Callithrix jacchus: one gene and its partners. The protein of the gene in region 3 purifies or fractionates together with the protein of the main gene of each other region. This does not show direct contact. Links are inferred from orthologs where the notes say so. Each region holds a gene or a part of one and is shown on either strand. Other genes may lie near its edges.

Evidence for each region.
Region 1: the proteins of IFT57 (region 3) and IFT46 purify together in Homo sapiens (affinity purification with mass spectrometry; 3 studies listed by BioGRID and IntAct, counting the BioPlex papers as one, with this or other methods). This does not show direct contact. The link is inferred for Callithrix jacchus from reciprocal best matches to the Homo sapiens genes IFT57 and IFT46.
Region 2: the proteins of IFT57 (region 3) and IFT74 purify together in Homo sapiens (affinity purification with mass spectrometry; 3 studies listed by BioGRID and IntAct, counting the BioPlex papers as one, with this or other methods). This does not show direct contact. The link is inferred for Callithrix jacchus from reciprocal best matches to the Homo sapiens genes IFT57 and IFT74.
Region 4: the proteins of IFT57 (region 3) and IFT172 purify together in Homo sapiens (affinity purification with mass spectrometry; 3 studies listed by BioGRID and IntAct, counting the BioPlex papers as one, with this or other methods). This does not show direct contact. The link is inferred for Callithrix jacchus from reciprocal best matches to the Homo sapiens genes IFT57 and IFT172.

The regions. Positions count from the first base shown.
Region 1 is NC_133511.1:18,216,091-18,220,446, reverse strand, and holds the start of IFT46 (intraflagellar transport protein 46 homolog), read left to right. Parts: upstream 1-1,514; 5' UTR 1,515-1,726; intron 1,727-2,394; 5' UTR 2,395-2,491; intron 2,492-3,248; 5' UTR 3,249-3,341; intron 3,342-4,356. UniProt on the Homo sapiens protein: Forms part of a complex involved in intraflagellar transport (IFT), the bi-directional movement of particles required for the assembly, maintenance and functioning of primary cilia. May play a role in chondrocyte maturation and skeletogenesis.
Region 2 is NC_133502.1:134,177,618-134,181,186, reverse strand, and holds part of IFT74 (intraflagellar transport protein 74 homolog), read right to left. Parts: intron 916-3,569; coding exon 777-915; intron 1-776. UniProt on the Homo sapiens protein: Component of the intraflagellar transport (IFT) complex B: together with IFT81, forms a tubulin-binding module that specifically mediates transport of tubulin within the cilium. Binds beta-tubulin via its basic region. Required for ciliogenesis.
Region 3 is NC_133516.1:99,272,788-99,276,356, forward strand, and holds part of IFT57 (intraflagellar transport protein 57 homolog), read right to left. Parts: coding exon 3,492-3,569; intron 2,673-3,491; coding exon 2,554-2,672; intron 1-2,553. UniProt on the Homo sapiens protein: Required for the formation of cilia. Plays an indirect role in sonic hedgehog signaling, cilia being required for all activity of the hedgehog pathway.
Region 4 is NC_133515.1:87,579,165-87,581,855, reverse strand, and holds part of IFT172 (intraflagellar transport protein 172 homolog), read right to left. Parts: intron 2,603-2,691; coding exon 2,486-2,602; intron 1,571-2,485; coding exon 1,460-1,570; intron 1,268-1,459; coding exon 1,148-1,267; intron 298-1,147; coding exon 202-297; intron 1-201. UniProt on the Homo sapiens protein: Required for the maintenance and formation of cilia. Plays an indirect role in hedgehog (Hh) signaling, cilia being required for all activity of the hedgehog pathway.

The DNA of each region.
Region 1 (4,356 bases), on a different chromosome or scaffold from region 3:
GCTGGAGTGAATGTAGTGGCCCAATCTCAGTTCACTACAACCTCTGCCTCCCAGGCTCAAGCAATCCTTCTGCCTCAGCTTCCGGAGTGGCTGGTACTACAGGTGCGTGCCACCAAGTACTTTTTTTTTTTTTTTTTAATGGCGAAGGTGGTTTTCGCTATGTTGCTCTAGCTAGTCTTGAACTCCTGGACTCAAGCAGTCTTCCCAGCTCTGCCTCTGGAAGTGCTGGGATTACCGGCATGAGCCACCCCCCACCCCCGGCCTCCAGTATTTTATGTCTCTCTCTCCCTGACTTCCCAAATTAATTATATCTATAGTTTGAAAATATTTGTTCCTTACATCTCCATTCACTTATTCTTTGATTCATCCACCCAAGGAGCATTTTTAGTGTCTAATTTCTGCAAGGTACTGGTGTTACAAAGTTTAAAAATTAATTAGACACAAATCCTGCTTTAAATAAATTCAGTTTTCTTTAGCAAATAAGAAAGGACACATAGTTAAATTTGAATCTCAGAGCCCGGCGAGGTGGCCCACGCCTGTAATCCCAGCACTTTAGGAAACCGAGGCAGGTGGATCACGAGGTCAGGAGTTTGAGACCAGCCTGACCAACATGGTGAAACCCCGTCTCTACTAACAAAAATTAGCTAGGCGTGGTGTTGCGTGCCTGTAATCCCAGCTACTCAGGAGGTTGAGGCAGGAGAATTGCTTGAACCTGAGAGGCAGAGGTTGCAGTGAGCCGAGATTGCGCCACTGCACCCCAGCCTGGGCGACGGAGCGAGACTGTCTCAAAAAACAAACAAACAAAAACAAAAAACAAAACAAAAAAACACTGAGGCCAGGAGCTGTGGCTCACGCCTATAATCCCAGTACTTTGGGAGGCTGAGGCGGGTGGATCACGAGGTCAAGAGATCAAGACCATGCTGGTCAGCAAGGTGAAACCCCGTCTCTACTAAAAATACAAAAATTAGCTGGGCATGGTGGTGCACGCCTGTAGTCCCAGCTACTCGGGAGGCTGAGGCAGGAGAATTGCTTGAACCCAGGAGACGGAGGTTGCGGTGAGCCGAGATCGCGCCATTGCACTCCAGCCTGGGTAACAAGAGCGAAACTCCGTCTCAAAAAAAAAAAAAAAAAAAAAAGGAACCTCAGATACACAAGGAATAACTTATTAGTATAATTATGTGCCATGCCATGGCACCATGTGGTGGGGGAGACTATATTGTAACATAGTGCTGTACAGAGTGCTGCAGAATTTTCCCTGGAGAGTGTGTCTACATTCTGGTAAGACTGATTAGGAGGAACTGCACCCCCAGAGATTGTTGCCCTGGGTGAAACAAACGCACTCAGTTTCCAGATTGCAGAGCTAACTCTGCGAGCCCGAAACTTCATCAGCCGGCGTTGCCATCCGCAGCCGCTAGATGCCGCAACAGACGCATTTACTGAAACCATAGACAAACGCGACATGGCCGCCCAGAGAGGCTTTATTCGTGCCCTCTGGATCTTCTTCCTGCGTAGACAGCCTTCGCGGGTGAGGCGTAACGTGCGGGAGGTCTCACGAGAGTGGAAGCAAATCTCGCGAATTTCAACTTAACCTTTTTACCTAGCGACTGAAAACAGGCAGTTGCTCGGCGTAGAATCTAAGTGGCCCGACTTTGACACTGGAGTGATACCCCAGCCCTAGGCTGGGGTTCTTTCCATTATAGAGGAGACGGATTCAGAGGGGCTACAGGTAATTAGTACTCACCCCAGCAGAAAGGGTACTGTCTTTCTAGAGGGGCTTAAGAGGACTCCCCTTTACCCCATCCCCGGTTACCTCTTCCCATCTCCATGATAACTGTTCCTTTGCCACCGTGACCAACCATCCTGTTTCCTTTATTCCCCACCAGACTTAGGTGGGATCTTATCTGCAAGTCGAGGGTGAAGGTGGAGGTGATGCTTTTGGGATTATTGGATCGGACTGAGAGACTGGAGTTTCCCCTCTTTTTGGGGTCCCTCCCTCCCCACCCCACCCCACCCCACAGCTGGCTCCAGAGACAAAACTCTTCCTAGGACCTCTGCAGCCTCCCCGGAGAAACCTCATCAGCCTTGGCCATCGACTTACGAATAGTGTTCTGCCCTTGCGCGTGGTCTTACAGCTTTGGCAAGCTGCAGAAGTTGGCTCTCTTTCCCTCCACGATTCCCTGGTTGCTCAGCCAGCCTGCCAGCAATTCTTAAATAAGGGCTGCAACAGAATGACTTAACTGCTTAACCGGGGGCCAAGAAGCCTTAAGGAAAGTTTGATGGGGTGACAGTTTTATGAAAAACTGGTTTCTTGGGTAAGGAAGAGGAGCCAATGCTGGTTTGGAATATATAATGTCCCATGATAGGAGCTATGTAATCGTGTCTCCTTTTGCTTAGACCGAGGTTGTTGAAAACCAGACATATGATGAGCGTCTAGAGATTAACGACTCAGAAGAGGTTGCAAGTATTTATACTCCAACCCCAAGACACCAAGGTAAGAAAGGAATGAAAAGGAAGAGAAATGGTACTCAAAGAACAGGATGGATTCACAGTTGTCTTCAAGAAGTTCTTATTTTATTTTATTTTAAATTTATTATTTTTTTGAAACGGAGTCTCCCTCTGTTGCCCAGGCTGGTGTGCAGTGGTGCAATCTCAGCTCACTGCAACCTCCGCCTGCCAGGTTCACACGATTCTCTGGCCTCAGCCTCCTGAGTAGCTGGGACTACGGGCACATCCTTCCATGCCTGGCTAAGTTTTTTTTTTTTTTTTTTTTTGTAGTTTTGTGGCGATGGGGTTTCATCATGTTTGCCAGGCTGGTCTTGAACTCCTGACCTCAGGTGATCCACCCTCCTCAGCGTCCCAAAGTGCTGGGATTACAGGCGTGAGCCACTGCGCCTGGCCGAAGTTCCTATTTTATAATAGCATATGTTGACTTTTCAGAGTCAAGTTACTTCACTTGCTATTGTTTGTTTTCTTACTAGTTAAGGTGGAAAAATCATAGCCTTCCAAATTACAGGATTTTCCCCCAATCCAACCCTATCACCATTTACTTCATGTTACTGCTTTGCTCACTATCTGCCAGGAATTCACTGTTCTTTTTTTTTTTTTTTAACTTATGTTTTCCCCAGCTTTGAAGATGCTTCATAATCTGCCCTTAGCCTGCATCCCCAACCCAAATCACAGTGAAATATTTTTAGAGGACTGGACACGATTTATTTATTCAACAAATTTTTTTTTTCTTAATTTTATAGAGACGAGGTCTTGCTATGTTGCCGAGGCTGATCTTGAACTCCTAGCCTCATGCAGTCCTTCCACTTCGGCCTCCCAAAGTGCCAGGATTACAGGTGTGAGCCATCTTGCCTAAAATTTTAAAATGCCTACTATGTGCCAGCCTTATGCCTGGCACTTGGGTAAATAGTGTTAAATGACACAATGTCCCTGCTATCTCAATGCTTGTAGTCATGGGAGGCAAATGACAAATGAGTAAACAAATTCCAAATGTGGAAAGTGCTCTGATGGAGGAAGATTGTTTGCTGTGAAGGAGAATAACAGTGAGGAAGGAGACCCACACTTTTTTGAGATAGAGTCTCACTGTATCGCCCAAGCTAGAGTGCAGTGGTGCAATCTCGGCTCGCTACAACCTCCGCCTCCTGATTTCAAGCAATCCTCCCGCCTCAGCCTTCCGAGTAGCTGGCATTACCACGCCCAGCTAATTTTTGTATTTTTAGTAGAGACGGGGTTTCACCGTGTTGGCCAGGCTGGTCTTGGACTCCTGACCTCAAGCGATCTCCCACCTCAGCTTCCCAAAGTGCTGGGATCACAGGCATTAGCCATCCCGCCCAGCCAGAGACCCACTTTTGATAGGGTGATCAGGGAAGATCTAAAGGGGCGCTATGTGAGACTGAAAGATGGCAAGAATCCAGACACTGAGGAAAAGTAGGCCAGGAAGAGGAAATAATATGTGAGATGTGAAAAACCTTGAAGCCTGAAAGAACTTGGCTTAGTTTGAGGACCTGAGAGACCAGTTTACAGTAGAGGGGACTCTACTGTGTGATACAGTCAGATCAGAGAGGTAGGGCAGGAGGCATAACAAGCAGAGCTTTGGAGGCTGTGTTGCTGTCGTGTGTGGAATGGACTGTTGGGATGGCTGAGTTGAGATGATAGTGGCTTGGCCTCTGGTGAGGAAGTTGAGAATAAGGAAAAGAGGCAAATGCTATACCAGACAGATGGTCGTAGAATCACTAAGACTTGCTGGACTGGTTTTAACTCGTGAGTTAGGAATCAAGGATGACATCCAGGGTTTCTGTTTGTTTATTGTGGTGAAATATACATAACATAAAATTTGCCATTTTAACAATT
Region 2 (3,569 bases), on a different chromosome or scaffold from region 3:
CTATCACCCAGGCTGGAGTGGTGCAGTGGTGCAATCTCGGCTCACTGCAACCTCCACCTGTGACCTATGATGCCTCTTAATGATTGCATTAAAATGTTAAAAGGCCTCATACGTCATAGACTTTTAAAATTTATAGGCAAGTATTTTTATAAGTGCAAGTATTTATAGACAAGTTTTTTTTTGAGACGGAGTTTCGCTGTTGTTACCTAGACTGGAGTGCAATGGCACGATCTCGGCTCACCACAACCTCCGCCTTCTGGGTTCAAGCGATTCTCCTGCCTTAGCCTCCTGAGTAGCTGGGACTACAGGCATGCACCACTGTGCCCAGCTAATTTTTCCATTTTTAGTAGAGACAGGGTTTCACCTTGTTGACCAGGATGGTCTCGATCTCTTGACCTCGTGATCCACCCGCCTCGGCCTCCCAAAGTGCTAGGATTATAGGCGTGAGCCACCGCGCCCGGCCTAGACAAGTATTTTTAATAAATGCAAGTATTTCATGCATCTTTATGAAATGCAAAATGAATAAACGGAAGTGAACAAAAAATAATTAGAGTAAAAGCTAGGTCGTCAAGCAGTGTAAGAAAATTACGTTTTCTAAATAAATACTTCTCAAATATGAATGTCTGTATGAATCAGCTGGGGACCCTGTTAAAATGAAAACTCTGATCTCAAAGTCTAGTCAAGTGCTCACGGGATGCTGATGCTGCTGACATTTAAACTATACTTTTAGTAGCAAGACTGATATGTGCTTGGCACACAGTAGGAATTGCTATCACCTGTAATAGTTTCTCATTTGTGGTTTTCATCTCCAGGTACTTGACTTGGTTTTCAAGAGACATATTTTTGATAATGTCATCTGCTGCTTGTTTTTCCTGTTCAATTTCTTCTTCTACGCTTCTTATTTGTTTTTCTTTCCTGAAATCAAAAGCACATAATACTCCTGATGCAATACTGAAAAAAAAAATCCAATTATTTTACACAAGTCACAGTCCTAATTTAACAGAATACTTAAAGATATTCAACCATAGTGTGTGACTGAAAAGTCTTTATATTTGTACTAAAAAATGCTATTTGACCTATATAAAATTTGGCCCCATTAGCACAAACTTACTTTACATCTTTCTCTTCTCCATCCCCAAATTCCTCTACTTCCTTACTCTCCATTTTACTTTACTAAGAAATCACAAAGATTATCAGAGAAAATCCTTAATAACTTATATATATGAGGATGCATTTATACATTTTTAAAATCGTACCTTTAAAGTTTAGACAAGAAGTTTTAGAATTGTGGTTTTCAAGCATCCGTCAGCCATAAAATTTTTTGACCAAATTAAGTATCGTATAGCAGTTTGCTATGTAAATCATGCAGTGCAGCTCTGACAGAACTAGGGAGTAGAGAAATCTACAGTTCAATTCAATTTTTTAAAAATTATGGCTTTAGATTAGTAATATACTTGCTTAAATTCTCTTTTACTTACTGCTTTAGTTAACGTTGCTATTTCACAAACTATTGCTATTTTTTAGCACGGCAAAATATTAAGCTACTGTCTCTAAAAAATAACTGAAAGATTACACACGTAATCATATAAAAGTAGTAATAGCGAAATTAATTAGAAGCAATAACCATTTTTATTATAGAATCCAAAGAAATACCAATGACATGTCACTTATTGCCTAGGGAAGGTCAATTACTGATAAGGTGGAGAAAAATTCTGCAAAAAAAATAGGTAAGATGCCACTTATCTAAATACTTTCAAGATTCACATTTTAGCCGGGTTCAAGCCTGTAATCCCAGCACTTTGGGAGGCCGAGGGGGGTGGATCACGAGGTCAAGAGATCGAGACCATCCTGGTCAACATGGTGAAACCCCGTCTCTACTAAAAACACAAAAAATTAGCTGGGCATGGTGGTGCGTGCCTGTAATCCCAGCTACTCAGGAGGCTGAGGCAGGAGAACTGCCTGAACCCAGGAGGCGGAGGTTGCAGTGAGCAGAGATGACGCCATTGCACTCCAGCCTGGGTAACAAGAGCAAAACTCCACCTAAAAAAAAAAAAAGATTCACATTTTATAAAAAGCTTGATTCAACATACATTTTTAGTCCCAAGATCATTAATTTCCATTTTGGGATTCAAAATCTGATTCACCTATCACTATTTACTCTCTTTCACTCACAGATACCAACCTCTGCAGTTTTCAGAATCACCAAATAAGGCTGTAGATCCACATATCCCCTATACAACTTCTACACATTCATATCCTACTATTAGAATAAACAACCTAAATTCAGAAATTTCTCTACAAAAAAAATCTCCAAAATAACCAAGTAAAAGATGAACATAATAAAACAGACAACCTGGAATTTCAATTTATTTTTGCCTCAATTTATTTATTTTTGTCGGAGAAGTGATATCTTCAATTGGAGCTTCAATTTCAACAGTATAACAAACGTGTTTCCTGCTGCTACAATTTGTATAGGTATATGAGCTTCTGCTACAATTTGCATAGGTATATGAGCTCACAGAATTTGAAAGAGGAAAATATGTATTTCAATCTCTTTATTTCATAGATTAAGGATACTGAAGCCCAGTGGAATTCATCTTTTGGAACTAATTCATTTTAAACTTGATTACTGACTACCAACAATGTTTCTTCCCACAATGTAGTTAGATGAGAACTAATGTTGTAGTAAAGCATTCCATTTTACATAGGAGAAATTACGGCATAAGAAACGTCAACTGATTTCCTAAAGGCCATATAATGTCCAGGTGTCAGGTCTTTTTGATGCTCTGAGCACTTTGCTCCTGTTACAACTTGGCAATAAAACCACTGATGATGGTGTCAAAAAAATAAGTAAACAAGAAGTTGAAACTCAATAGAATATACAACTTGGTGGTATCTTTACAGTTTGAATCCTTCCCTCCCTCCTTTGTTCTCCCTCCTTCCCTCCCTTCTCCCTCCTCCACGGATGATGGTGTCATAAAAATAAGTAAACCACAGAGTTGAAACTCAACAGAATACAAGTACCTTTACAATCTGAATCCCTCTCTCCACAATTTGAATCCCTCTCTCCCTCCTTTCTTCTCTCTCCCCCGCCTCCGCCTCCTCCTCCTTCTCCTCCCCTTCCCCCTCCCCCTCCTCCTCCTCCTTTTCTCTCCCTCTCCCTCTCTCTCTCTCTCTCTCTCTCTCTCTCTCAACTTTCCTCTTTCTTGACACCACATGACTTTCCACCCAGGCTGGACTATGATACAATCATGCCTCACTACAGGCTCCAACTTCTTAGCTCAAGCCATTCCCCAACCTCAGCCTCCCAAGTATCTGGGACTAAAGGCACACAACACCATGCCTAACTAACATTCTTATTTTTTTATTTTGAGCAGAGACAAGGTCCTGCTAAGTCAGCCAGACTGCTCTCAAATTTCTGAGTTCAAATTATTCTCTCACCTTGGCCTCCCAAAGTGCTGGGATTACCTCAATTTGAATCTTTCTAAGCACAAAATACCTTCAGGACAAACATAAATTAATTTAGCAACAGTATATCTTTCAGAAGTATTCATTTTCAATATTGTAAA
Region 3 (3,569 bases):
CTTACAAAAACCAACTCAAAAGGGATTAAAGACTTAAATATACAACCTGAAACTGAAGATGCTAGAGAAAATGTGGGGAAAAACACTTCACGACATTGTCTGGACAAGAATTTGTTGGATAAGACCTCAAAAGCACAGGCAACAAAAGCAAAAATAGACAAACACGATTATATCAAACTTAAGGAAACAATCAAGAGTGAAGAGACAACCCACAGAATGGGGGAAGATATCTGCAAACCACCCATCTGACAAGAAGTTAACACCCAGTATGTATAATAAACTCAAGCAACTCAGTAGCAAAACAACAACAAAGAAACTAAGTAGTCCAATTTGGAAAATGGGCAGAAAATCTTAATAGATATTTCTCAAAACTTGCATAAAAATAGCCAACAGATACATGTAAAAATGCCCAACATCATCAGGGAAATGCAAATCAAAACCACAATGAGATACCATCTCACCCCAGTTAGAACAGCTGTTACTCAACCCCTCGCCCCCACAAATAACAAAAGCTGGTGAGGATATGGAGAAACGGGAACCCTTGTACACTATTGGTGGGTATGTACAGTATTAGTACAGCCACTATGGAGAACACTGTGGAGGTTCCTCAGAACACTAAAAATACAACTACTCTATGATCCAGCAATCACTCCCAGTACTGATTATATATCCAAAAAAAAAAAAAAAAAAAAGAAATCAGTATGTTAGAGATATCTGCACTCCGATGTTCACTGCAGCACTATTCACAATACTCAAGATATGGAATCCAACCTAAGTATCCATCAAAGGTTGAATGGAGAAAGAAAGTGTGGCATATTTACATAGTGGAATACTATTCATAAGGGAGAACGAAATTCTGTCATTTGCAGCAACCCATATAAGCCTGGAGGACATTATGTCAAGTGAAATAAGCTAGGCACAGAAATACAAATATCGCAGAAGTGGAGAGTATAACAGGGGTTACAATAAGCTGGGAAGGGTAGGGGGAAAGGAGAATGGGGAGCAGTTGGTCAAAGTGGGTGAGTACAAAGTAAGGTCTAGTGTTCCAGTGCACAGAAGGGTGACTACAGTTAACAATATTATATATTAGTTAACAATAATATATTATATATTTGAAAATAGCTTAAAGAGATTTAGAGTGGTCTCACCACAAACAAATGATAAATGTTTGAAATGATGGATACGTTAATGTCACTAATGTGATCATTGTATATTGCATACATGTATTGAAACATCACACTGTACCCCAAAATTTACAGTTATTATGTGTCAATTAAAAACAAAACTAAAAAATAAATTATCCAAATTACAATACATAGGCCAGGAATAAGTTGTGGCAGGAAACAAAGGAAGTGCAAAATAGACTAGTGGTTGAGACTCTACACAATAGCTTCTGGTGAATTTACAATATACTGGGATATGGATTCAGTAACTTTTGAAAATGCTAAATACATCTCGTAACTTATCTTCTCTTGCATGTTTGGATTGAAGCATATGAAATTGCCATTTTTTAGTTTAAAAATAGATGAATATGAGTAATTTTATATGGCTCATCCCAATAAGCTAATTCAAGGAAGTTATTAAAGAAACTTAATAGGGAGATTGTATCTAAAAGAATATAACTGAATATACATTAAAATGTTAACAGGAAATAATATATATATGTGTATATATATATATTTCTATATATATATACATATATAAAGACATATATATATCTTTCTACAGAAGTTAGTTCTAATTAAGAAAACATTGCTCACTCACATTTTACCTGCGTAGTGCCTTCTACATTCTAACCTATTAATAATCCCAAACTGCAGAGCATAAAATTTATATTTTCTAATTATAATCTCTTTAAATTGAGTTTTCAAATGTTTTGTTTCATCTATATGCTCAATATCTATTAAACATCTAAGATACACCACGCATTATGCTAACTTCCAGAGTACTTGCGAAGATTTCATGATTTCTAGCAAGAACGTCAGAACAGTAAAGAAATAACCATTTTAATACCATAGAATAAATGCAATATAATAAGAGAAATAAACAAAGCACTGTCAAGTTGGACACGAAAGCAATGACCAATGTCTAGGAGAGGGTCAGGTACTTTCCTCATTATTCCTGCCCAGTAACTTAAGTAAAGGAGAAAATCCCACTTAAAGTACTATATTAATTTCCAGTTTTTCCTTAAATCTGTAGCTATCAGTTCCCGCCGTGTACATACTATGTTTGTGTGTATAAATATATGTACGAGAGACTTTTTAAAAATATCAGAATTTACAAAGATATATAGTCACAGTTAAACCTTCAATAATTACATATTTGAATAGGGAAGAGGCACAATAATATGTAACGCCTTACTTCAGAATTAATCTTCAAGACATCAGACATCCTAATTTTGTCTATACTGGCTTTTCTTAATTATCTGTGCCATTTTCAATTTAGAATAGTCAAAAAGAAATAATTATTTTATGTTTAATTGAACATCTCTGCACCCTCAGAGGAAAACGCTTTGCACACAAAATTACTATTATCAGGTTGGGTAGTTTTTACCTTTTCCAGGTGAAACCAATATATTTCAATGCTTCTTCAGCTAAGCAATCAAGAACATAGCATACAGGTTCTCCACAACCTGACTTTAATTTTGAAGGAGGAAAATCTGCAGTTCTCCCCTGAAAAACAAAAGATAAAACAGGGTGTTATTAGTTAGTTATACTCCAAATATCAAAATATTTTAAGCAAAGAACTGCTGAATAGATGTATCACTTTTCTTTCAAAGATTTACAATAACTGTAATTACATTGTTTCTTAGAAATCCATTTTAAGTCTTTGTAATCCATTGATACATAAAAGTACTGGAAATACTTTTATTGTTAAAGGTCTGAAATTAAAAGGTAATAACATCATAGCATATTGCATATTGATGTGGGTGAGTACAAAATTACAGTTAGGAGGAATAAGTTCTAGTGTTTTCTAGTCTAATTATTGATCTTACTAGAGGGAAAATGAAACCAGTAAAACCATTTAAACAACTATGTTTAAGGACAGAATGATTCACTTGTCAAAAATTAGGAACATTTGTGCCAAAAATATCTTACTGCTTGCCCAGGAAAAGTCAGAAATGAAAAAGTACACTGCTATCACGGTCTTTAAGTCCACGTTCCCTTTCAGTATAGAAAGTGTTTTGATTTTATAGGGTTTAATTATCATTTTTTAGATCAAGAATTAACCACCCAAAAGTCTAACTCTCAGACACATCAAGATTTTTTTAAAAAAATACTACTTTGGGCTAATAAAGAGTATACACTGAACATTTTCAGGAGTGACATTAATGTTATAATATTAACTATTTTGAGGCTTTACCTCAAAATGAATTCATACTAATTATATTTACAGAGAATTCATCTAAATGGCTAGCATTTGTTATTAAATTACCAATATTAAAATTCATAACTTGAGAATATGGAGAAAGAATGGTCGTTTACACTTACAAATGACCTAAGCTCGGAAAGTATGTTAGATGTTGTTGCATTAGGGTCATCACATTCTTGAGGCCGTTCAAAGGGACG
Region 4 (2,691 bases), on a different chromosome or scaffold from region 3:
GCAAATGGGAGTGAGCAAGCTGGGCCTGGATGTTACTTCTCTGGGATGCAGGAGAAAAATCCAGGAAGACATAGGAGGATTATATCCTCCACAACTTCAGCCCTACACTCAGCTTTCTGCTACCTGAGCAGAAGGGATATTCTCTATTTTCCAACCTTTGACTTCCTCCCATCTGCCCCACCCTTCCTTGTCCCAGCTCACCTTGGCAGCAATGCCTGCTTCATAGAAGGCTTTGTCTACAGGTAGTAGCTGGGTGTGACGCAAGAGTGAAACAGAAAGCCTGGCAGCCACAGTTTCCTGGGATTAAAGTCAAAGCATTATGAATACGGCACTAAAGTGACTGAGCTACAGACCAATGATCCTGTAAAGCAGCCACAGAACTAAAAACAACAAGCAATATTATACTGCTCTGGAGCTCGAGCTGTTCTGGGTCTTATTTTTATTTATTTATTTTTTTCTGAATAAGAGACCTGGGCCTAGTTTCAATTTTTTTTTTTTTTTTTTTTTTAAATAGAGTCTTACTCTGTTGCCCAGGCTGGAGTGCAATTTCAGCTCATTGCAACTTCTGCCTCCCAGATTCAAGCAATTCTCATGCCTCAGCCTCCCAAGTTAGGACTACAAGCGTGCACTATCATGCCAAGTTAATTTTTATATTTTTAGTATGGGATTTTGCCATGTTGGCCAGGCTGGTCTTGAACCCCTGACCTCAAGTGGCCCACCTACCTAAGGCTCCCCTCCCAAAGTGCTGGGATTACAGGTGTGAGCCACTGTGCCTGGCTGCCTAGATTCTTTCTAAGGTTCTTTCCACTTCTAGAATTCTATTATCCAGGTACATGATATAAATATATAGTAAACAGTCATAAATAAGCCCAAAATATGTGTACATTACAAGAGGTGAATAAAGAAATCATGGGATTTGGATGTTTAAACATAATGAAGCTGGAGCTGTGTGGGCACAGAGCCCTAAGAAGGTGAGAAGAAAACCTCAGCAAGGGCTAAAGATTTGTTTAGACAGAAGAGAAGCTGAAAGAGAGGGAGCAGATTCAAGAGCCTAAGTTGAAGAATCCAGAATGTGAGACAATTCAGTTTCATACATCTGCAGTGTGTGAAACTGACTGAGTGCTCCTCTGCCCCCTCTACATCTCACCAGCTGTTTGACACTCTGGGCTGCAGAGCGGGTGGCATAGTAATGAGCGATCAGCAGCATCGTCTTGAACTCCTCATGGGCTGGAGAGTTTGCCTCACTGGACTTCACCAGGTTTTCACACTAGAAGAGGGAGACAGCACAGCCTGGCTCAGGGGTCAGAGGAGTGCCAAGGCCATAGAGTGGTCTCCGATGGCCACCTGGCAGAGGAAGGTAAAATACATCTGAGAATAAAGGTTTACATGCATGAAAGAAGAGATGAAGACAAGGACAGGCAGAGCAGCCCTTTTACTCTTGTCAACCCAACTTCCTCACCAGGTTGAAAAGGACATCTCGAAGATCAGCCCAGCTATGATAGGCCTCAGCGCAGTTGGTCCCAGGAGAGCTCACCATGTCAGTGAAGATCCTTTTGTAGATATTGAAGTTCTAGAGGTAGAGGGGAGAAGGGCATTTGAGAAGGGCACAGCTAGAAGAGAAAGTCAGTGAAAGTGGGGCAAAAGGGACAGGCTTTGTGTGTAGAAATAGTTATGTGTGTGTTCAAGAGCTGGGAGACAGTGGTAGATTATTAAGTGCTGATTTTTTTAATGAAGTGAATTATTCATAAGTGCTGTTTATTTTTGATGAAGAGAAAAGAGGAAGAAAATAACTATTTTTTAGCTGGTGCTCTGTGAGTGGGCAACTGTACAAATGTAAGTACAGAGTTACAACATTAATGGGCTGTGACTCTCAGATCAGGGAGCAGTGTTCATTCTCTGGAGGAAGTCAGTAAAAAACCTAGAGGTGTGTGTAGGATTCATCTCTGAAAGACAGGTGGCTGTGTATTTGCTAACAGCATGGGGAGCTCCATGGGTGTTTCTTTTCTTTTCTTTTTGAGACGGAGTTTCGCTCTTGTTACCCAGGCTGGAGTGCAATGGTGCAATCTCGGCTCACGACAACCTCTGCCTCCTGTGTTCAGGCAATTCTGCCTCATCCTCCTGAGTAGCTGAAATTACAGGCACGCACCACTGTGCCCAGCTAATTTTTTGTATTTTTAGTAGAGACGGGGTTTCACCATGTTGACCAGGATGGTCTTGATCTCTTGACCTCGTGATCCACCCGCCTCGGCCTCCCAAAGTGCTGGGAGGGTGTTTCTTTAAACAGAAGTTGTAAGTTTCTGCAAACTTCTCTCCATGCTCTTAGCAAATACACAACCTCCAGAGAGGCTGTACATTTCTGAAGATGCATGGCAGGCTCTGGACATGACGTTCTCTAAGGATAGAATCCTCTGAGAAGATAGTTCCTGAGAGGAGAGGAGAAACAGTTTCCTTGTGGAAACATTTAACCCAAGAAGAAGGCAGGTACCTGTGGGTTAGCAGGGGCTCCGTGATGTACATACAGGGCCAATGCCTGGGCAGAGCTACCCTCTCGGATCAAGTGAGTTGCATACAAAGCCACGTATTTGTGCAGAATCTTGTAGTTCTGTACAGGGGTGGAGGAAAAGTTGGGATCAGTAAGACCAAGCAGTGAGGGTAGAGTGGTGACTTGAGGCCATGGATTTTTTGAGGAAA